Linked DNA regions of Tribolium castaneum. The protein of the gene in region 1 interacts with the protein of each later gene in a biochemical or structural test. Links are inferred from orthologs where the notes say so. Each region holds a gene or a part of one and is shown on either strand. Other genes may lie near its edges.

Region 1 (11,383 bases):
CCGAAAACATGGCGAATGTTTCTCGGTTTGGAATCAAAATGTGTTGATATTTGTGGTAGCTTTTGGATTAATTTTACATTAATACATTTGTGATAAGTGTTTTAAAAGCGATGTCGTCTCTGCAGTACGTTGTTCATCCTTTACCGGGGAACGAGGAGCAGTTCAATGACAGGTGAGGCATTTCCCAACGTTGTGCATTCCTCGCTCGACTCTTCCTCCATTTTCCCTTGACTTGATTATTACATTTTTACGAAAATGGAGGAGATCGCAGCGGAGGAGATCCGATAGTTTTACGTCTCAAGGGCGGAGGCTCCTCTCCTCCTGTTGCACAATTTCAGATGGTTTCTGGAAAATTTCCGAACCGATTTGAGAACTGAAGCAATTGCATAAGACGAAGTTCGGACCGAAAGAATCGGATAAAGGCTGCGGCCGCTTCTTTATCAGGGGCGGTAGATAGGCCTATCATATATAATCGAAGCTTTGGCTGGGTGTGGGCATGGCTTTGTTCAAAATTTACATTTATCTGCTGACTTATCTAGCAAAAGAATGCTTAATTTATAGCAACTTTCGTGTCATGCTCCTATCAATGAATAAGTAAAGTCCGTGTAAAATCCACAGTTCTTGGTACCGGCAATTAAAATTCTGAGATTATTTTTGCATGCCAGATAATTGCGATTGCGACTGACATATACAGGGTGTCTCAAGATTTGTGAGTGCCGAGTTATTTTTTTGAGAAATTGTTTTACATTGTTATTCTCCGCAATCATCTTCACCATAAATAACAATATACACTAAAACTTTAGTTCTGCATTTGAAGAAAACGCAATTCAAAGAGTGATCTTCAAACAAATCTTTGTGGAGAAGCTCCAAATCTTTTCTATGTTTGGAATACTGAAGCAATTCTCTATAATGCTCTGAACTCGAAATCTGTCAATTTTAAGTCACCCTGTAGGTTGTCCGAATTTTTTACTACTTCGGGCATCTTGTATAACACATTTGTTACGTCTTTAATAAAATGTTAACAATAATCTAAAAATCAGATAATTGTACTACCAGATAATGACATGTCAGTAAATTTGGAAAGAGCTTTATATCCAACCATCGAATAAATTATTTTTTTTTTAATTCACTCATTCTTTTTTTTTACGAACCCTTTATTAAAAAAAGAATAAAAATTAGGAGGACATTTATTTTCCTTGTTGCACAAACTGAATGCTAATGAATACGAATTAAAAAAAATCTACTAAATTGTTGATAATGTGATATTATTTATATATTTTTATTTTCGAATTATTAACATAGTAAAATTAGATAGTAATTTTAGTACAGCAAGTGTTGAATTATTTTGAAAAAAGGTGATTAAGTGCCAGAAAAATTTCGATACGAAAACAGAAATAGGGGCAAATACCGTATCGCTAACAATTTTTAATGTAAATGTGGAGACAAAAATTTTTAACAAAAAAATAAGGGAAATGCAAAATAATTATCAAACAGAAAACAATTAAATAAAGCTCTTTACATCACACTTGGCGAAGGAACCGACAAAAGTATAATTATTTTTTTTTAAACTTCGACTGAAGAAGAATTTAGTTTAAATAAATAACAGAATGTCTTTTTTTGCTAAAAACTTTAACTTGGCTAATAATTTTTCGGTAGATGTGTCCTTCTTTATTACAATTCTTATTCGAAACGCTTATTTTTACCCATAATATTGTTTAATACCTAAAATGTATCTTGATTCATGAAACAAAAATAGGTAAAATAAAAAAATTATAAACAAAAAACTATTGGTAATATGGATATTTTCTTGATGTTAATCAATTTTCCTGATCATTTTACATAAGATAGTATCAAAATAGTTCTACTTTTTCGAATAGTTTTGCCGTAATTGAGAAAAAAATTGTAAATACTATCTTCTAAACATTCAAAATTTTAAGAAAAAAAATATATTGTATAGATTTTTATCTGTTCTTTACGATGGAACAAACTGTTTTGCTCTAAGGGTTATAGTTTCGCCGTAATTGTTTCCTTTTTTATAGACACAAAGTGGTGATTTTAGGTGTAAGTACGAAATAACGCACTGAAAAGACAGAAGTCTATCTAATTTTTGATAAAATCTTCCGATGAAAACAGCTAATTTTTTAAGAAATTTCTTGGGACAAAAACAGTAAACATATAAAATTTGTGGCCCATGGAGATGAGTTGCTGCCGCTTATTGTTCCTTAACTTCATTTTGTAATTTTGTACGTTAGCGTTTTAAAATTCCGCCATAACAATACTTTTTTGGCGAACTTTTGGTGGGGAAACATTGATCTAGATAATAGTACTTCTCTCTAGTAATGATCAAGAATATAGTCTGTACCTTCTTTCTGTTCTTTTAGACTGAAAGAAGTAGCTGATAGAATCAACCGCCTCGGCCACACCTCGCACCCAGGTCTGTCCAGCCTCCGTTCCGGTATAAAAAAAATCTGTCTCGGCCCTTCGTTTATCGCCCTTCTTCTCGACGATGGCCGTGTATGTCGTGTTTCCTACAACGTCCTCTCCGACCGTTTAGACCTCAGCAAAAATGACTCGACTAAAAAGTGAGTATTTGACGCACAGTGTCGTCGTTGTGTCCATTTTTAACACTGTGCCTTATTAAATCTGTTCGTTTCCACCAACCAAAGACCTTGGTTGTTGCGTAGTTCCGGTGGCGGTGCTACTGGCGGCTCAAGCGGTGGTGCTGGCGGTGGCAGCGGCAGCAGCAAACCCACCGGAAGCGGAAGACAGATGCCCAGGACCAGGGCCAGGATTATGCGCTCGAATACGGCCATCAGAGGTGGAAGCAATAGCGGTGAGTTTCTTCCTCTGTATTTCGTTCATATGAAGATTTAGTGTTTGTCCAGACCCTTTTCAGGGCAATATACTTGGTTTAACTCTGTCGTCCTTAAATGTACAGAGTCCTTTACTTTCAGGCGGTCGTGGTGCTCCGGTTATCATAGGAACGAGCAGTTCGAGCAGTGGAAGGCCGATGGTGACGGTGCCAGCGCCCTACGTCCCAGAAGAGCTGGTTTCGCAAGCTCAGGTGGTGCTTCAGGGGAAGAGCCGGAATTTGATAATACGGGAGTTGCAACGCACAAATCTTGATGTTAATTTAGCCGTTAATAATTTATTGTCGCGCGATGATGAAGAAGGAGAGGAAGGAGACGATGCAGCTGATTCTTACGTTCCAGAGGATCTAATTTCGCTGCTTGACGGAGGGTTTCATACCGATCATTCGGTGATAATCGATGCTGATGCGATGTTTTCCGAAGATATGTTTGGATATTCGGGCATTAGGAAGTAAGGATTTTTGGTTTGATCTGTTTGACTCGCTTTTTGTGTAGTTGCGCTTTTTTTGTTGGTTAACAACTCTATCGCTTGCATTTTTTTCTATTTTTTTTGCATTTTAACTAACTCGTTGGGAATGTTTGACTTTGCTCAAACAAGCTTCCTTAATAGTCGCGGCAGTGGAAGGAGTCGATTGGCCGACAGAGATGCACCACCGAGCAATAGTTCGAATTCAGATCGAGACAGAGAGAATTTTTCGAGGTGGAGAGATCGTCAGTATTTCGGACCTAGGAGGTGGCTTGAAACGGCACTAAGGGAAAGTCCGTACGAAAAAGATTCAGGTTGGTGCTAGTGATTTTTATTGAATACGACATTAAATACCAAATTTAGATCACAAGAAGAAAGACAGCGCGTGTCCACTTTGGATTTCCGACGACTTGGAATTTTGGCCCGATTCTGCACCGAAATTCGTCCAAATTGCGAGTCTCTACTCGGAATTAATCGCATTGTCGAGTAACGGACAATTGTTTCAATGGCGTTGGAACGACCCCGAACCTTACAGACATCCAGAGGTACGTTCATAGACACTTGAAACCAACCGAAATGCATTTATTCGTTCCAGAATTGTAACATACATCACCCCAAGACAGTTCCTTTGGGTCTAATGGGCGAAAAAATCGTCCATCTCTCGGCTTGTTGCACCCGTTGCTCGGTCTCAACCGAAAGCGGCAAAGTCGCCACTTGGTTAGACGAGCTTTTGGCGCCAGCAGCAGCTAAATTGGAACATTCAGCTCAGGCCTATTCCGAGTTTCAAACTGACAAGGTTGCAGCTTTGTACACGTGTCCGTTGTACACGGTTGCGAAGCTTGAAAGTGGTGCTTTGTACTGGTGGTGAGTATTGATTCACGTATATTATTGACCCATTTTGCTAAAAAAATTGATTAAAGGGGCGTTTTAACCGTTTGCTCAACGCAAACGATTGTGGGAGAAATACCGTACAAAGTGCCGGAAACAAAGACCTTCAAACAATCAATCAGAGATCGTTACTGGGTCGCAAGTTTGTATGAAGAACAGTCCCATGTATCAAGCGGGTGCGATAGGGTTTACCATCGCCAATGGAGTACCAAAAGTGGGCCAATTACAGAATGCGGCTTGGACGTTGAGCGATACTTGCACTTTTAAGATTATCAACGTGCAAACGAGTGGAGCTTCGAGTGCCGATAAGGGGAGAGATGCCGTGCCGGGCCCTAGCGGGTTATGTAAGTCTTTTTTGATATTTATAAACTATTTTATCTGTACTGGACTTAAATGTTTACGGGGTTAATGTTCGTTGCAGCGAATTTAACAAATAAAAGTTCGTCGAATAAAGAAAACGCCGATAGGCTTGATATGCCACCGCCACCATCGCCGGCTTCGAGTACTTGCAGCGATACCGGAAGTATTTCAAACAGTCACAGTAAGTTTTCTACAGTTATTGTAAAACCAATTAATAAAACAATTAAAGAGCGCCAAAAACGCATGACCGTGTCTGGGAGCGACACCGGTTCGGAGCAAAGAAAAGACGAAGAGGAGTGGCTTCTACGGAATGTAATTTTCGTGGAAGATGTACGAAGTGTTCCAGCAGGTCGCGTTTTGAAAGTGGACGGTGCTTACGCCGCCGTCAGATTTCCAAGTGGACATTCCAGAGATCGTGACGCCAAAGATGCCGACGATATTTTCCAAGATTGTCGATTGATGCGCAAGGACGACCTCCAAGTATGAACAATAATTTGGTTTCGGTCAAAATTATTTGTGTTTTGTAGGTGATCAAATCGTCGTCTAATTCACGCGTTCCTGACTGTTTTCAAAAAACACCTCGACGTATCCAAATTTCCGACAATAGCAATCAAATTCTCACGATTGCCGTTGATGGACAAGGCATACATGCCATAGTTCGGAACGGGAGTAAATTGAGTTATGTCGTTTACAACGTCAGTAGCGGAAGAATTGAACAAGATAATCCATTTCCGAGCGACACTGCTTCGTTCATGGGGCTCTATCCACATTTGATCAACTTGATTTGTGCTGGAGAAGTATGTCGTTTGTAGTGTTTGCCTGATTGTTACATTGTTTGTATTTCAGAGTTCTGAAACAATTTTGGTTTTGCGCGACGGTAACAGCACGATTTACCCCCTCAGTAAAGATTGCGCCGATGCGATTCGCGACCCACAATGTCTAGACTTGCCTCCAGTCAAGTGCCTGACAGCTGGTACATTTGGTTTGACTGGAACCGGCCTCAACATGAAGAATCAAGTGGCTATTGTTGTCTTTGCACTTGAACAACAACTACTCATGCCGAAAATACTACGTTGTGATATTGATGGCGTCCGGCAAGTTTTGGCCCAACTAGACAGCGATTTGAGTAAGTTTTACTATTTTCCCGTGTGATATTGTGATGAAAAATTTTCAGAAGCCAACATTTCGAATATCTTAAACGAACGTTGCGACGGCAATCGTAACATTTTCCACGCTGTTGTGAACATGTGTACGCCGACGTCGAACAAGGAAACTGAAAGCGGTGAGTTGGCCAAATTTATGCTTTAGGTGATTACGTTAGGCTCAAGTCGCGTGCGTAGCTTGATTTGTTGGGATCGTCATTTCCAGACCCGTCAGCTGGCCTGGAATGTATCAATGTGATAACGAACGCCGTAGGCCCTCGATCAGTTACGCTACGCGATATGATGCGTAGAGCCGTTGTACGTAGCGAAAGCGCACTCAACAATACTTCTAACTCTGCAGATCAGCACAGTTTCGTCCAAGAAGAACCGATACCGACACACAGTTGGCCACCGGAAAGCTTCGATGTTACGTCAGGCGATGAGGATAGTCTGATGGGTTTGGGAAGCAGTGCTGCCAATAATAAAGGGAGCGGAAACAACAGTAACGCACCGACGAATCTCGTCGTCGATCCAGTTGAAAGACGATCAAACGCGATGCAAATCTTACACGCGCTTTTGTATGATTCCTCGGCTTTGGAGTCGCATCTCATCGAGCTTTTATGTGCAAAGTAATTTTTTTCTCTGCGAGTTTGATTAAATAACCATTGGGATTGGTTTTAGGGATGCACAAGGTCAAACTCCGTTCATGTTGGCCGTATCGTCGCGAAGTTATCCAGCCGCGTTGGAAATTTTCGAAAGAATCATTAAATTGGGGACTCCTCAGGAACGCGAAGAGATGATCTTTCCGAAAGGTTCAAATCCGGATCACTCACCTCTGCATGTTCTGTGCTGCAACGACACGTGTAGTTTTACCTGGACTGGGGCCGAACACATCAATCAAGTAAGACATGGTACGAAAAAAAATAGTTTTTGTAATTAAAATTGTAGGATATTTTTGAATGTCGCACTTGTGGCCTCACCGGAACGCTTTGCTGCTGTACGGAGTGTGCGCGTGTTTGCCACAAAGGCCACGATTGCAAGTTAAAAAGGACTTCGCCTACGGCTTACTGCGACTGCTGGGAGAAATGTAAATGCAAAGCATTGATAATGGGGAACCAAACGGTCCGTTACGAACTTTTGACACGTTTGGTTAAAGAAACCGATCTCGTCTGTTTGCCGAATTCACGCGGCGAAAGTATCTTGCTGTTTTTGGTCCAAACTGTTGGTCGACAAAATCAAGAACAGCGACAGTTTCGTCACACCAGGCCCAGGACGGCATCGGCAAATTCCCGAAATAAAACACCTTCTTCAGATAGTGAGACTCTTTATTCTTATTTGACTCGTATTAACTGTCCGTTTGTGTATTCTCCTTCTGTTTCAGTTGAGACCGATATGCCCGAGCATGATTTAGAGCCTCCCAGATTCAGTCGTCGAGCTTTGGAGTGCCTTTTAGGCGACTGGAAAGCCGTTCAAAGTATGATAATGTCGGGGACTCGAGACGTTTCCGAAACACAATTCACCGAACAACCTTACGTCTCCAAACAGACCGGAACGGCACTTTTGGATAAATTCTCCTTGTGTTTCCTTGTCAAATGCCAAATGGTAATCGACGTACTTCTCGAAACCTTGATCAGAGAAATGAAAAATCCAGATGCGAAACAAGCCCAATACGCCACAATGGTTTCGCGGCGATTCGTCCGCTCAGTTGTGCGTATTTTTGTCGTTTTTTCCATCGAAATGGCACCGAACTCGACGAAACGACGCAGTTTAAGCAACCAAAACCAACCGTTGACTAAATGTCGCAAAATATTCCAAGCTTTGAGCAAACTATCGATTGAGGAGCTGTGTGAGAGCGCTGACGCTATTATGGCACCGGTTCGATTGGGCGTAGCACGACCAACTGCCCCCTTTTCACTTGCAACATCCGTAAATGACGTTCTAAACGGATCGGAAGAATTATTCCTAGTTGATCCTTTAGCACCGTCGAGTTCACGACCTTCTGGGTCTTCAACAATGCCGCGGTTTCCGTTTTTGGCCGAAGCTGTGCGAAGAGCGGCCGCTAATGCACGCGATCTGGCAAACGCTCGCGATTTATTGAATTTGAATGATGGTGAAAGTATGGCGATTGATAATGACGATGATAATGCGTCCGAACATGAGGATGTTCCCGCTGATCGTGAATTGCCAATTACTGTTAGACAGTCGTCGACTAATGAAAATGAAACGGTCGAAGCTGCTCCGTACCAACAGGAAAGTCGAATCCAAGGCGAGGAAAGCGATCCCGAATTGGATCTGTTGGCGGAGACGGAGTCGGATAGTGATGATAATCATAGTAATCAGGATGCTGCATCTGCACAGAGGTCGGTACAGACGGGAGCAACGGCCGGATCTGATACCGGTAAGTCAATTTGATTGGTGGAGAGAAAGGGAGAGAGTGAGGAGCTAGCTCATACCTATATTAATCTATACTGCAAAAAAAAGACATAATTTAAAAAAACAATGTTTCAAACATCGCATTATCTTAATAACGTATTGCATTCAGCAATTTATTTCTTGTGTGCCGACGATACACACAGGGTCTAAGGCAGTATATTTTAATATAGGCGTGTGAGAGCGGGTGGTTGGTTGCATGTGTATGCAATTCTGTGTAACTTATCAGGAGGTATGCTGCTGTTCCCGGAAGACGAAAGCGGCGAGTCAAGCCAACAGGAAGAGGAAGAGAGCGAAGCGGGCGAAACTGACGAACAGGACACTGAAGATTATACGTTGACGGATGAACAGTTGGAGCGAAGAAGGTAAATTTGACAATTTTTCTTAGCATTTTTCTTCAAGTAATTTATTTTATTATGATTATTGGCTCTTGATTTAGTGATGTTTTTTGTGTTTCTCATTACTCTGATTATTGTCTATGAAAGAAGCCGTTACAGCAATACGACCGGTCATGGACAGAGGAGCAATTTGGCCCCGCAGAATATGCAATGGGCAATACGGTCACGTGAAGCAAGCAGATCGGCTGGTGTTCGATTGGCCAACGGTTCTAATTTAGTTTTTATTGATCCCAGTACGTTAAGACGATCTACGACTGGAAGTACGGCGGTCGCTGCAAGCTCGGAACCGGTGGCCATGTCCACATCGGCCAGTTCCTTAGCTAGGGCCTTCGGTAAGTACAGCTTTTACGTACTTGTATTTTTTAACTTACTAATCATTACAGGCGCAATTATTCGCCAAATCACGGACTTGTTATCCTCACTGCCTGACCTGAATCAAGCCTTGTCGACTGTTGCACACATGGAAGTGTCACAAGATGATATCTACAACATACAAGTGAGTTTTTAGTAATTTTTCTAACTGGACACATGACTGGTTGTTGCTTCGTAGATTTATCTAGAATTCCGCCTGAAGCCGACCTGGGATTGGCTTTTGACAGTGATGGACGCCACTGAAGCCCAACTGAAATTCGGTGCATCTCTAACCAATTCTCTCGATCTTTCGAGTCCAGGTCATCCGCTCAATACCGGAATTACGACCGGAGTCTCGGCAAATAATTCAAGCAATCTTCGATCGAGTGGTCACCGGGGTCATACCATTTCCAGTAGTTCTGGTACACGATTGGTCGGTTTTACCACAAACGTGGAAAGTCGAACTCGACCTGAACGCGATGGTGTGGACGCTCACGCGGCCCGGAGAGAATTTCTCTCCTATTGTTTGTCATTAATGAGAGCTCACAACAACGAACATTTGGATTCGTTACCGATTTTGGACGTTTCGGCTTTGAAACACGTTGCTTATGTTTTCGATGCTCTGATTTATTTTATGAGGTCGGGATCATCTGACCGCAATGATACTGACTTGCGACGTGATGGTTTTTCGCTTCCGTTGTGGAACGATCAAGACGAGAACGAGAACGAAGAAGCTGAGGAAGACATAGCCGTGGCAATGGAAACTGAAAGTTTGGAAGACCAAGATGTTTCTAATCTTGCGACGATTTCGAGTACTTTAAATTCGTCGAGTTTGCAAGGAGGGTCGGGAAAAGGTCGCAAACATTCGTTTTTCCAACGATCGGAATCCACTTTGTGTCTAGGTTGTCCTCCACCAGATCCTTTTGAAACGCCAATGGCTGAAGCACTACCACTGGCCGACCAACCTCATCTCCTACAACCCAATGCAAGAAGGGAAGATTTGTTTGGGATTCCGAAACAACCAATCACTTTGGCCTCCACTGGAACCATTTCAAACAATCCTCTCGAATCACTTCCTACGAAATTGAGTCTTTCGACTCGAACTACCGATTTTGCGATGAGTCAACCGGCAAAAGCCAACCACCCAATTTCCCAATCGTTAAACGTTATGGGCCCTAACCCCTTGATTTACCCCCAAAATTACAACCCAGAAACAGAAACAAACGCTCGAGAAGTGCACGTCCAGACTGAAACCTACTCCAACGAACCGTCAACATCCGATGAAACCAAAAACAAGAACTTGCAAACTTTTGAGAGTCTCCTCGCCGCTGTTAAGAATGAAATTGGCGAAAATAGCAAAGAAAACACTCCGCATGACTTATCCTCGCGACATAATCAAGAAGTACCGACATCGAGGCCGCAGATTATCGTCTCGCCGAGAAAAATTTCCGAAGTTTCGAGTCAGGAGCAACAAGAAGGTTTGAATGGTTCGAGCGAAGCCACACAGGATTATAGTAGTGGATCGACGACTCCATCCTCCAGAAGTCCAAGCAAGAGTGTGATAGTTCGAGCGGGATCGTCAATGGTAAGTTGTAGAAAAAATATCGCGTGGACCTACGATACGTACGCTCAAGCTTAACATAACGGGCGTATCACACTCAGGTCCTAGAACGAATTGCTCTCTGATGACTTTGGTTTGTCGAGCTTTGAACCAAGGACAGATACGGGGCATACATTTCTGTAAAATAATACAAGGCGTCTAACACCCAAAAATATTAAAATATATTTGGAACTTCCGATTTTTTTAAATATGACGTGATAAATGTGTTACGTTCATACTGAATGTGAGATTGTTTTTTGCAGAGTAATCAGCAAAAATCGAATGATTCGAACGTGATGATGTCTGTCGATTCTCAACAACCGGAAACGTTAGAAAATCAGGAAATATCAGCCAACGTAACTGTCGTAACAACCCCGAGCCTCAATACTGATGTTTTACGTCCGACGATTGGTCAGTCCGTATCGCACGATTTACTATTGGGTCGTTGGAGGCTTTCTCTCGATCTTTTCGGTCGCGTTTTCATGGAAGATGTCGGACTGGAACCGGGCTCTATCGTTTCCGAATTAGGTGGATTCCCAGTGAAAGAAGCTAAATTTCGACGAGACATGGAGAAATTACGAAACAACCAGCAAAAAGACTTGACTCTTTCGAAGGTATTTATCGAAATTGATGCGAATTGTTGATTGCATTTTTGTGTCTGTAGATGGAAAGAGATCGCACTCAACTTCTCCTGATGACATTCAAAGAATTGAACACTCAGTACAACAACTACAACCGCCGCAATTCATCGTCGCCCCCTCTGGCGGTGAATCGAGTGAAAGTGACGTTCAAGGACGAACCTGGTGAAGGATCGGGCGTCGCTCGTAGCTTTTATACGGCGATAGCCGAAGCGATTTTATCCAATGAGAAGCTCCCGA
Region 2 (11,596 bases), on another chromosome or scaffold:
TCTACTAACGTGGACTAAAATAACTGAAAGTGTTCTTGAGTAATTTCTGAACCAAATATAGAAAAAAACACTTATCAAAAATAATTACACGGCGAGGAAATCAATTCGGTGTAACGATTTTTTTCTTTAATATATATTTGAACGTTTAACTGAGCGCACCACCTCTTGGTTGGCGTTCCAACTAACTCGGCCGGAAATATGGCCACAATCCTAGTAACTTTTATTGCATGGGGTTCTTGACACTCTAGTTTTATATTTGTCATTTGTTTACTTGTCTAATGCCGCACCTAAAAATGTTAAATATTTCTAAAATAGCACAAAATTAGTTAAGTTTGTTGTTGATAACAAATAGCCACGTTCTGGGCCATGTTTCTAAGAGTGTGTTTTTGTGTGGTTCCATTGACTGCAGTCTCAAATTTGGTTTTTTCCAGATTGATTAAATTATTTTCTCTCTGGAAAAACAGCAAGTGGAGTGCTTGAAATGGCAGGAACTGATCGAGTTTCGCTGAGTGACGCATTATCCAACGTTGATGTACTAGACGAACTTCCTTTGCCTGATGAACAACCGTGCATTGAGGCCCAACCTTGCTCAGTTGTCTATCAGGCGAATTTTGATACAAATTTCGAAGATCGGAACGGGTTTGTGACAGGAATTGCCAAATACATTGAAGAGGCAACAGTACACGCAAGTCTCGTAATTATTAAATGAGCCATTTGTGTCCCCTGTGTCAGTCAGGTCATTTACAGAACGAGTTATTAGAGGAAGGGCAGGAGCATGCTGTCATGCTCTACACGTGGAGGTGCTGCTCTAGAGCCATTCCTCAGCCCAAATCTAACGAACAACCAAATCGGGTCGAAATTTACGAGAAAACTGTCGAAGTGCTCGCCCCCGAAGTGAACAAACTCTTGAACTTTATGTATTTTCAAGTAAGCCCCTTTTAACTCAACCCGGTTAGGACTCCCTTAATCATTTCAGAAAAAAGCAATCGAGCGGTTTTTCGAAGAAGTAAAACGATTATGTCACACCGAAAAAAGGAAAGACTTTGTCTCAGAAGCCTATCTCCTCACTTTGGGAAAGTTCATAAACATGTTTGCCGTCTTAGACGAGTTAAAAAACATGAAATCAAGTGTCAAAAACGACTATTCCACATACAGAAGAGCAGCACAATTTTTGAAAGTCATGTCTGATTCACAAACACTTCAAGAATCACAAAATTTATCGATGTTCTTAGCCACACAAAATAAAATTAGGGATGCTGTTAAGGAGAATCTGGAACGAATCAGTGGCTATGAGGAATTGCTAGCTGATGTTGTCAACATTTGCGTGCACATGTTTGAAACGAAAATGTACCTCACACCCAGCGAAAAACACATGCTTGTTAAAGTTATGGGCTTCGGGCTTTTCCTGATGGACAGCGAGTTGTGCAATATTAATAAGCTAGACCAGAAGAAGAAATTGAGGCTGGACCGCATTGACCGGATTTTCAAAGTGAGTGGCAAAAAATATAAAAGCAACTCGCATTTGATTGAATAACTCTGTTCAAGCTTAAATTAGTTCAATTAGTCCTTTAGTTTTTGTTATCCGAATGAATTGAAATTTTGCATAGTTACGTAATCTGCGTGACGATACAATTTTGTGTATTTAATACAAACTACAAACAAAATTAGAATTTACTCTCAAAAATCGCTTTGTATATTCAGATTATAAAGTTTAAATTTTGTGTACTTACGTCAAAAATGATTTTCAATAATTAATCAGAGAAACTGTATAATGAGTAAGCTCTTGACTTAACATTCTTGCCAGATCGGTGGCAAATTTTATATTTAATGCTTAAATAAAATCACGACTGGTTTATAAATCTACAACATTTGACCAAAATACGAGAAAGCCCGTTTTTTCGTAGAACTTGGAGGTTGTCCCTTTGTTCGGGGACATGCAGATCGCCCCTTTCAACTACATAAAGCGGAGCAAGCATTTCGACCCAAGCAAATGGCCTTTATCAAGTAGCAATACTCCCTCTCCCCAAGCCGATTTAATGGTACATTTGCCCCAAATTCGTGACGATCATGTTAAGTACATAAGCGAATTAGCGCGATACAGTAACGAAGTCACGACAACATACAAAGAAAGCGGTACTGACGCTGAAAATAAAGAAACGGCCGAACTTGCGCTCCGCGGATTACAATTACTGTCTGAATGGACAAGTGTTGTAACGGAACTGTATTCATGGAAGCTTTTACACCCAACTGACCACCATCAGAATAAAGAGTGCCCACAAGAGGCCGAGGAATACGAAAGGGCGACACGGTATAATTACAGCGACGAGGAAAAATTCGCGCTAATTGAAGTCATTGCGATGATTAAGGGATTACAAGTGCTGATGGCCAGAATGGAAACGGTGTTCACTGACGCAATTCGGCGGAATATTTACGCCGAATTGCAAGATTTCGTACAGATTATTTTGAGGGAACCGCTGAGGAAAGCAATTAAAAATAAAAAGGATCTTATCAGAAGGTAGCGCGTTTTTGTGTCCACATCACGTAACACGTTTTTTTAGTATCATTATGTCGGTGCGAGAAACTTGCGCTGATTGGCAGAGAGGTGTCGAGCCGACTCAAGACCCGGCTTTGAGGGGCAAAAAGGACGATAACGGGTTTAATGTTAAAGTGCCAAGGAGAAACGTGGGTCCTTCCTCCACCCAACTTTACATGGTCAGGACAATGCTGGAGTCGCTAATTGCCGATAAATCAGGCGGCAAAAGAACCCTGAGGAAGGACATAGACGGTCAATATTTAATGCAAATTGACCAGTTCCACAAAACCTCCTTCTACTGGAATTATCTTCTCAGTTTCAGTGGTACGTACAAAAACATTGATATTAATTCATTTCCTCCCAGAATCGTTGCAGCAATGTTGCGACCTGTCGCAGCTGTGGTACAGAGAGTTCTACCTCGAGATGACCATGGGACGGAGAATAAACGTGAGTAACGCGTAATTTTGCCAAAAATTTGCCAAACTTTTCATAGAAATGCACCGTGCGTCACGCTCATAACGAAGAATGTAACGATTTGATCACGATGGAAAAACGCATACAATTCCCAATCGACATGTCCATGCCTTGGATTTTGACTGATCATATTTTGAAAACTAAGGAACCCTCGATGATGGAGTACGTCTTGTACCCGCTTGATTTATACAATGATAGCGCGCTTTACGCACTGACAATATTCCGAAAGCAATTTTTATACGATGAGGTCGAGGCTGAAGTTAATTTATGTTTTGATCAGTTTGTTTATAAACTGAGCGAGCAAATTTTCGCGTACTATAAACAACTGGCGGCAAGGTATTGATAAAAATCATGGGAACGCTTTCACAATCAATCCTTTCAGTATCTTTCTTGATAAGCGCTTCAGAGTGGAGTGTGCCGCCTTGGGGGCTTACCTGCTCCCCTACCCGCGAGCAAATCGTTACGAAACCTTGCTAAAACAGCGGCACGTCCAGTTATTAGGGCGGTCGATCGATTTGAATAAGTTGATCACTCAGAGGATCAACACCGACATGCAGAAAAGTCTCGATTTGGCAATAAGTAAGTTCGAAGGCGGTGACATAACCGGGGTTATGGAACTGGAAGGCCTCCTACAAGTGAATCGGTTGTGTCATAAATTGCTGAGCAAGTGGCTCGCACTTGACGATTTCGATTCAATGTATCGTGAGGCTAATCACAACGTTTTGGCGCCCTATGGCCGCATCACCTTGCATGTGTTTTGGGAGCTGAACTACGATTTCTTGCCTAATTACGTCTACAATGCCGCGACGAACAGATTTACTAAGTATCGGGGGCAGATTGCTTTCGCGGGGGCTGTCCACAGAGATAAGCCGCCGCAAATGTCGCATCATTACATGTGGGGGAGCAAGCAACTGAACCTTGCCTACACGACTCAGTATGGCCAATATTCCGGTAAATCTAGCTTATGGTCCTAATTTTGTTTAACTAGTACGGTTTAGGGTTCGTCGGGCCTCAGCATTTCCACACAATGTGCAAACTCTTGGGTTATCAAGGCATTGCAGTTGTGATGGAGGAGCTCCTCAAAATTGTCAAAAGTCTGATCCAAGGGAACCTCCTCCAATTCACCAAAACTCTAATGGAGGTCATGCCAAAGCAGTGCAAATTGCCACGTTACGATTACGGCTCACCGGGTAATGATTTGCTTGATTTGGGCGGAATTAATAAGACGAATTTTAGGTGTGTTAAGTTACTACCACGCCCAATTGAACGACATTGTCCAATACCCCGATGCCAGGACCGAGTTGTTCCACAATTTCCGAGAATTTGGGAACATTATCCTGTTTTGTTTACTGATGGAACAGGCCTTGTCACAGGAGGAAGTCTGTGATTTGTTGCAAGCGGCACCGTTTCAGAATATCCTCCCACGGCCGTTTTGCAAGGAAGGGGAGAAGCCCGAAACGAAGCAGAAACGGCTTGAAGCCAAATATGCCGCCTTGCAGATTGTACCAAATATAGAGAAGTTAGGAACTGCAAAGGTTGGATAAATGTGCAAACAACTGTTTGTTATTTCGCCAATTTGTAGCAATCTTTGATATCGAAGGAGGGCGATTTATTGACCCGTGAGCGGCTGTGCTGCGGTCTCTCGATTTTTGAAGTTGTTTTGAACCGATTAAGGACCTTCCTGGACGATTCGGTTTGGGTCGGACCGCCGCCTGCTAACGGTGTCATGAACGTTGACGAATGCACCGAGTTCCATCGCTTGTGGTCGGCTTTACAATTCGTCTATTGTATTCCAGTTAGCGAGAACGAATATACTGTCGAGTGGGTACCGACTTTATGTTTCGTTTTATTTATTCCGTGTTTCAGGGAAATGTTTGGCGAAGGTTTGCATTGGGCGGGGTGTACAATGATCGTGCTTCTGGACCAGCAAAGGCGGTTTGAGGCCCTCGATTTCTGTTACCACATTCTGAGAGTACAAAGAGTTGACATGAAGGATGAAATTGTGAAAGGCATTGTATGTTGGTTGTACGGTTGTTTTCGGTCTATAATTGTCTTTCCCAGAGCTTGAAGAGAATGGTGGACAGGATCAGGCGCTTCCAAGTGCTCAATTCGCAGATCTTTGCGATTTTGAACAAGTTTTTGAAGTCGAGTGAGAACGACGAGTTGTCGGTTGAACATGTACGTTGTTTCCCGCCACCGGTCTACCCAATGAATCCGCAACAGCACTACCACGCACCCGAACATCTACGCCAGTGTTGAAGCACGTTTATTTTATACATTTGTTGGAATCAGCTTTCAACATTTTATAATCTTTTATATTTATTATAGTCCTACTACATGTGTAAATCTCATTACAAATGTATCGCCCACCCTCATTTATTATCGGCCTTATTGGTATTGCTTTAATTTTTCATAATAAAATTTTCGATGCCTGCTTGAGTGTGTTTTATTTCGCGCGTTGTTTCAAATTCAGGGCTGCCAACCGGGGACTTAGTCCCGCTGGTGACTGTTGATAGCAGCTGTTCGTCGTGTGTTGACAGTAGTTGAGAGATTTGTCAAACTATAGAAAATAATTCAATAATTTTGTAGTATTTTCTGTATTTTGAAAAATTAGACAATGACAATTTTACCAGCCAAAAGACCTTCGGCGAATCCGGAGGAGAAAAGCGACAATAGTCAGCAAAATGTGAGTAGATATGTTAAACTTGTCATTTTTGATCTTTTTTTAAGGAGAAACTTCATAATCATAAATCGTGTTATCTTTATTGTCAGCGTGTTGGACTAGCGAAATCTTTGCTTGATCTTGAAATTTTGTACACGATTGCGTAATTAGATAGGTTTAATAATGTAATAATGTAAAATAGGTAGGTAATGATTGCTTTCCAATACTAGCTCAAGAGCTGTCTAGGTCGGCTTCCTTTGTTCGAATAATTAAGGCCCGACTTTTTTTAGGGGAATTCCGAGCGAGCGGTGCGTAGGAGAGACGATATAAGTTCTCTGAATGAGGCAAGCCCTTCAAGCCGCCGATCTCAGTTCCCCTAGTAAGTTTCCACCCTCAATCGCGGAAAAATTCATTCTTGCTTCCAGCGTCAAGTCAACAACTGAGCGGAAAGAGCGTTTGAGGAAGCGATATAAAGAGCCAGATCGGGCGCGAGATAGGGAACGCGAGCGCGAACAAAAACGGGAAGTTCGGAGGGAACAAAAACGGGAACGAGTTGCTAAACGCGATATCTCAAATGAGCCTCTACATGACAATAATGCGAGTAATTCGGTTGTTGACTCAGTCGCTGTTGAGCCCACTTGCAACAACAACGAACCTGGGACTGCGAACAAGGAAGACTACACGGGCTTCAACAGCGAGGATGAGTACGATGACCAGGGACTCCTCAAAGAGCGGAACATACCGGATGAAGAGTGGCAAAAAAGGGACGTGTTATTTTCCCGCGGCATGTCCAACCTTGGGTTCGAAATCAAGCAAATGAACGAAGATGGGGCCTGTCTCTTCCGGTCGATAGCAGACCAAGTGTACGGCGACCAAGAATTCCATTATCAAGTCAGGCAGGACTGCATGAACTACATCGTAAGTTGTACGCAAAGTGGGGATTTTTTCTAATTTGTTTCTGGAAGGTTCAAAACCGTGACTACTTTGAACCTTACGTGACGGAGGATTTTGATAAATACGTTGCACGGAAACGTATATGGAACGTACATGGCAACCATTTAGAAATACAAGCAATGAGCGAGTTATATAATAGGACAATCGAAGTTTATTGCTACCAAATAAGTAATTTTTGCCTTTCTTCCGCCTGATTTTTACTAATACGCCGTTTCCAGCACCAATCAATATATTCAATGGTTCAAGATTAATTAACTCATATGAGCCTATTAGATTATCATACCACAGGATGTGTCATTATAATTCTATTAGTAACCCAAATAAACCTTCAGTAGGGGTAGGCTTAGGTTTACCCAATTACCATACCGTTGATATTGACAGAAGAAGGTTCAATGACGCTCTGCGGGCTAGTGATGAGTTGCTAATTGAACAGGTAAACCAATCAAATAATTCCCATTCATAAAAAAGTCACTGAATTTTTATAACATACTAACCACACAGTGGCGTACCAAAACATGTCCCTTTCTTCGCTCCCGCTGATTAAAAATGTATTATTTAAATTGATTACGTTCGGGGTTTTTTGCCCATTCGTGAAAAAAATATTTTTTGCGCCGAGTTTTGTAGAATTCTTTGGTAGAATTTTTGTCTTATTCGTTACTAATCAATTTTTTTCTTGTAGAAACGTGCTGATGGAGCTCGGTCGGAACCGCTTTGTCGCGGTACAAACTACCAAGTACAATGGTTTTTAACAGTGAAATTTAAAATATGGAACGTAAAAATAGTAAAATAAAATTTTATTTCAATTTATCACGATGGGAAATCGCAGTCGTCGTATTTTTGTGATTTTCTTGTTTTTATCAATAAATATACACTCACTTGTTATTGTTACGCCACTGGGAAACCTCATGTTGCGCATGAGATAAGTTACGGTTTTGCTTGCTGTGCGCACTCCAGGTAGCAGGCCCCACCTTTGTTCAAGGCTGCAAAACGGTTAGATAACGAAGCCTCAGGGGCGGAGCACAGCCACTGTCACAAGGCAGTAGCGTAGATGTAATCGAAAACACTTCGGTAAAAATTATAGGGGCTTTCACGAATTATTCTCAAAATTTTAACAATTACGCCTATCACTTTCTTCAAAATAAATAAAAGTACAACAAAACCCACATAAAACCTAGACTCGCGCTCATTACAGTATTATTACAATGTAAAATGAAGCTACTAGCTCGCTTTGGACGTTTTTTTATGTATTTTGAGGAATCGAATTCTTATTACAAAAATTCTACAGTGAAACCTCGTTATCCGAATTTAAAAAAGTAAAATTCGAGTTAAGGCGAATTCGTGTACACACTTCGCTCAGACTTTTTTTTGCTTTTACGCCAGTATTACTAATAAATTAAATTACTAATAAATCCTAATAAACATTTCACTAACCACAAGCGATGTCATAAAATTGACAGAAATAACACTTCAGAACCGGTGAGAGTGTAACGTATCTGTAGCCATGGGGGTACATTTTGAGACACACTGTACAGCACCGCTTTTATTACACTGTGTTTCGATCTACATTTATCGAAGCGACACGTAAGAAATGACAAAGGCGTTTTTTTCACCGCTTAAACTTATCTGTGCGTTCAAATCCACACAGGGACAAGTCACAATCCCTTGTAAGTGCCATTTTTAAGTCAAATTACTAAGCGTACTAGGCGTAATGAATGTGAGGTTATACATACCATTTTTTCGGTGAATTGGGACGGGGTTGCACTTTGCACTGTTAAACCCACACAAAGTGAATTATTGCAACAGTTTCGATGTAATATTCAAATTAAGTTGTGTACCGCACTGCTATCACTACATTGTCTAGTAGGGGGTGCCAACGTTGAAAACTCAAAAACCACGCAATGTTCACTAGCAAAATATAAAAACAAACATAAAAAAACACCCAGGCACACATTTTCACATATAAATTAACAAATTTACAAGTTTTGGTGGCGGGATTTCAACAAGTATGTGGACGCGAGATGGCGGTATAATCGTCCGGGACGTTTCTGTTCTCTGATTGGCTGTTGGTGTATAATACAATACTCGGAAATATTAGAAGATTAATTTTTTCCGACGTGATATATGCGTACAGATAGTGTTGTTTTGAATTACTAAGTGTTAGCTTTGTATTACAAAGGTTATTATATTTTTTTTCGTCTGTCGTGGATCTAGTTACGTGCATCCGTGAGACCCGAAATTGGCGCCCTGATTGACAGTTGTCTTGACTAATCAGAATCTTTCTAGACTATGCTAGAAGACAAGTTGAAAGCAACCGACTTTGAAGCCACCAACGAAGCCATCGAAGAACAGGTAGCTCGCGAGTCCTACATCCAATATTTTCGCGACTCAGAACGCCGTTTGAAGAACCAAGGACACTCCTGTGGTAGCAGTTCAACGATAACATCAGCAACCATGTCCAGCTCGCGCTCGTCGAGGAAAGGCTCGGTCTCCCCGAAGGGATCGCAGTCCCCCAAAGGGTCCAACTCGCCAAAGACAACACCACTAGGTACTCAAGTGTGAGTCGATGGCGTTTTTTAACATTTCCTTGCAGCGAGCCCCCGAGGCGCTGGGGCGCCGTCCCCATCGACTAGCCGCTATGAGGCCGACGTCAGCGGGGGCGATGTGGCGGGAGCCTGCGGTGGACCACCGGAGGAATTTCCGAAATTTTCGCCGCGCCGTTCTGAGCCCCCGGCCGAGGATGTTAATAACCCGGACTATGATGAAAATTTCAACGAGGACTTTAAATTTGATTTTGATTCCGATTCGGATCAGTCGGCTGGGGCCGGGCCATCAAACCGCGGTGATATAGGTTTGTCTGATTTTTGCTTCAAACAAAATGGACGTCGATTAAGTGCATTTTTCGGACAAAAATTGATATTTTAGCGATTTTTTCAGCTAGCCCTCCGGCCAAATGCGCTGCTTCATCGCAGGATAATCGAGTTATTACGGTAGGGTTAGCTTAGAAAAATTCTAAGCCCACATGTAATTGGGCAAAAATCGTGGTTCCTGAAGAGATTAGAGCTTGTAAAAGCTGTAGGTACAGCTAAATGGACCACCTATATTTTTTGCATTTTTGGATGCAGCTTTTAAAACTAATGACTTTGACTTTTATTTTTTTGAACTTTTGAACTTTTATTATTTTATTATACTTGTTATTATATTTTTTCACTTAGTAACATTATCATTTACAATTTTTCTTCATGTGTCACTCGCTATAACATACTACAATTTAATTACGTTATTGTAATTTAAAGTATCTGACAATTTAAGATATATTCTTTGGGGAAGCTTTTAAAAAAACATGGAATATTATTTTGTACTTTTTGCATATTGTGAGTGATTAAATTTAAAAAATATACAGAGCACTTAAAAACTGGCGCACCACGTTCTTGAGAAGCAAATGTAGATTACAGGAAAAATCTTAAAAAATTCCTACATTTATATTATAAAAAATATGGGCATACAAATTTACTTTGTTGACTCTTTTTTAATGTTTTTATGTTTCACACTTCCGATACCGGCTGTTAGACAATGATGCCACATATTTGACAGTCACAATTTAAGACAATTTAAAGAAAACACACATTAAAAATCTCCTTTTTATTTATTTTTCCAGAGCCACACGTAATTGAAAAAAATATTTACCGTTACATTCTGTTGTACGAAAAAAAACAAGCAATCTTAAGTATTATACATTATACAACCAAACAGCATATTAAATATCAATAAAAAATGCATTATTCTTTTTACTATTATTTACTTCCCTTTTTTCATTCTCATTTTTTTTGTTTCATTTACATTTTATTTATCTCATTTACTCTTTTTTCCTATTTAAGCATGGTTATGAATGTTTTATTCTCGTATTTTTTTTGCCCGGCGAATCGATTTAGATTTATTAAAATAAAATTTCGCTAAAATGTCAACTTTTGTCATCAAGCCGAAAACATCTGGCGGAAATGCACGGAAATATTTAATTTTAAAATGTGTGTGACTTTTACAGATTACGACAATTATGACCAGGAAATCATGGCCCAAGTGCTGGCCGAGTCGCGCAAAACTTACTTAGCTGAACTTAAGCAGCGATCCAAGAAGCGTCATGGATCTCCGGGACCATCCACTTCATCCTAGTTTAAATACTAAATTAATTGAGTTACATGTTCGTGCTTTCGTTTCATTTTTAGTTAATTAAGGTTCATTGTTTGCTTTTCAAGGTATGCAATTGCTTTGTTTTGTTATATAAAATGCATATCTTGTAAAATTGTATTGGCATGTTATAATCGTTTTTTAGTTAAAACGACCTTCCTCCACCCAGAAGATTAGTTTCGTTTTTTTGGAGAAAGAGCTTTCGTTTCTAGTACCGTAGTTTCGATTTTGCATGGATTGTGGGGGGGTCGTTTGTAAAAAAAAATTCAAAATGTTATATTTTGAGACACTGTTTCACGGATGTAAGTTTCGCCCTCTAAATTTCAGTGTCAAAAAGTATTTTATTTATGTTTTCAGATATCTATAAGTATATGTACTTATGAGTTCCAATGTATTTCAGTTTCGTTCAAATAAAATTGTTGTGATATTTGGCGTTTCATAATTGGACTAATCATGGTCACACCCAAAATTAAGACAACCAAGGTTGTTGCATACCAAATTATAGGTATTTCGTCACGTCGTTAAATATTTTGCCCTCAAAACAGAATAATTAACGTGGATGCTCCACTCAGGTAATTTGTATGCATATTAGGAAGAAAATATTTAGCAACATCGTAATGTACTTAACATGCATATCCCATAATGGTGTGCTTGGATTACTTAATTACAATGCCAAAAGAGAAATTCGCTAAGAAAAATATTATTTGAATTAATAACAGGGGCGGGCCTAGGACAGCTTGACTAACATGTGCGTGTTGCCAATTTGCGCACGCGTGTGCCATGGCCACCTA

The links.
Region 2: the proteins of hyd (region 1) and Duba form a complex in vitro, tested with the Homo sapiens proteins (2 studies listed by BioGRID, with this or other methods). The link is inferred for Tribolium castaneum from reciprocal best matches to the Homo sapiens genes UBR5 and OTUD5.

Annotation. Positions count from the first base shown.
Region 1 is NC_087398.1:9,884,455-9,895,837, reverse strand, and holds the start of hyd (E3 ubiquitin-protein ligase hyd), read left to right. Parts: upstream 1-4,372; coding exon 4,373-4,568; intron 4,569-4,645; coding exon 4,646-4,765; intron 4,766-4,813; coding exon 4,814-5,064; intron 5,065-5,111; coding exon 5,112-5,381; intron 5,382-5,430; coding exon 5,431-5,710; intron 5,711-5,758; coding exon 5,759-5,866; intron 5,867-6,087; coding exon 6,088-6,355; intron 6,356-6,407; coding exon 6,408-6,627; intron 6,628-6,674; coding exon 6,675-7,041; intron 7,042-7,107; coding exon 7,108-8,124; intron 8,125-8,385; coding exon 8,386-8,521; intron 8,522-8,641; coding exon 8,642-8,886; intron 8,887-8,937; coding exon 8,938-9,050; intron 9,051-9,104; coding exon 9,105-10,490; intron 10,491-10,514; exon of another isoform or gene 10,515-10,643; intron 10,644-10,768; coding exon 10,769-11,119; intron 11,120-11,169; coding exon 11,170-11,383. Other genes in the region: E3 ubiquitin-protein ligase hyd-like, read left to right, coding at 111-172, 2,382-2,582, 2,667-2,833, 2,955-3,321, 3,469-3,650, 3,700-3,881, 3,932-4,204. UniProt on the Homo sapiens protein: E3 ubiquitin-protein ligase involved in different protein quality control pathways in the cytoplasm and nucleus. Mainly acts as a ubiquitin chain elongator that extends pre-ubiquitinated substrates.
Region 2 is NC_087403.1:2,181,535-2,193,130, forward strand, and holds Duba (OTU domain-containing protein 5-A), read left to right. Parts: upstream 1-5,506; 5' UTR 5,507-5,624; coding exon 5,625-5,693; intron 5,694-5,959; coding exon 5,960-6,048; intron 6,049-6,094; coding exon 6,095-6,587; intron 6,588-6,634; coding exon 6,635-6,791; intron 6,792-6,841; coding exon 6,842-7,056; intron 7,057-8,906; coding exon 8,907-9,168; intron 9,169-9,213; coding exon 9,214-9,471; intron 9,472-10,662; coding exon 10,663-10,790; 3' UTR 10,791-11,232; downstream 11,233-11,596. Other genes in the region: Cyfip (cytoplasmic FMR1-interacting protein), read left to right, coding at 482-694, 748-927, 977-1,489, 1,905-2,515, 2,559-2,857, 2,898-2,980, 3,027-3,343, 3,390-3,958 and 5 more. UniProt on the Homo sapiens protein: Deubiquitinating enzyme that functions as a negative regulator of the innate immune system. Has peptidase activity towards 'Lys-48'- and 'Lys-63'-linked polyubiquitin chains. Can also cleave 'Lys-11'-linked ubiquitin chains (in vitro).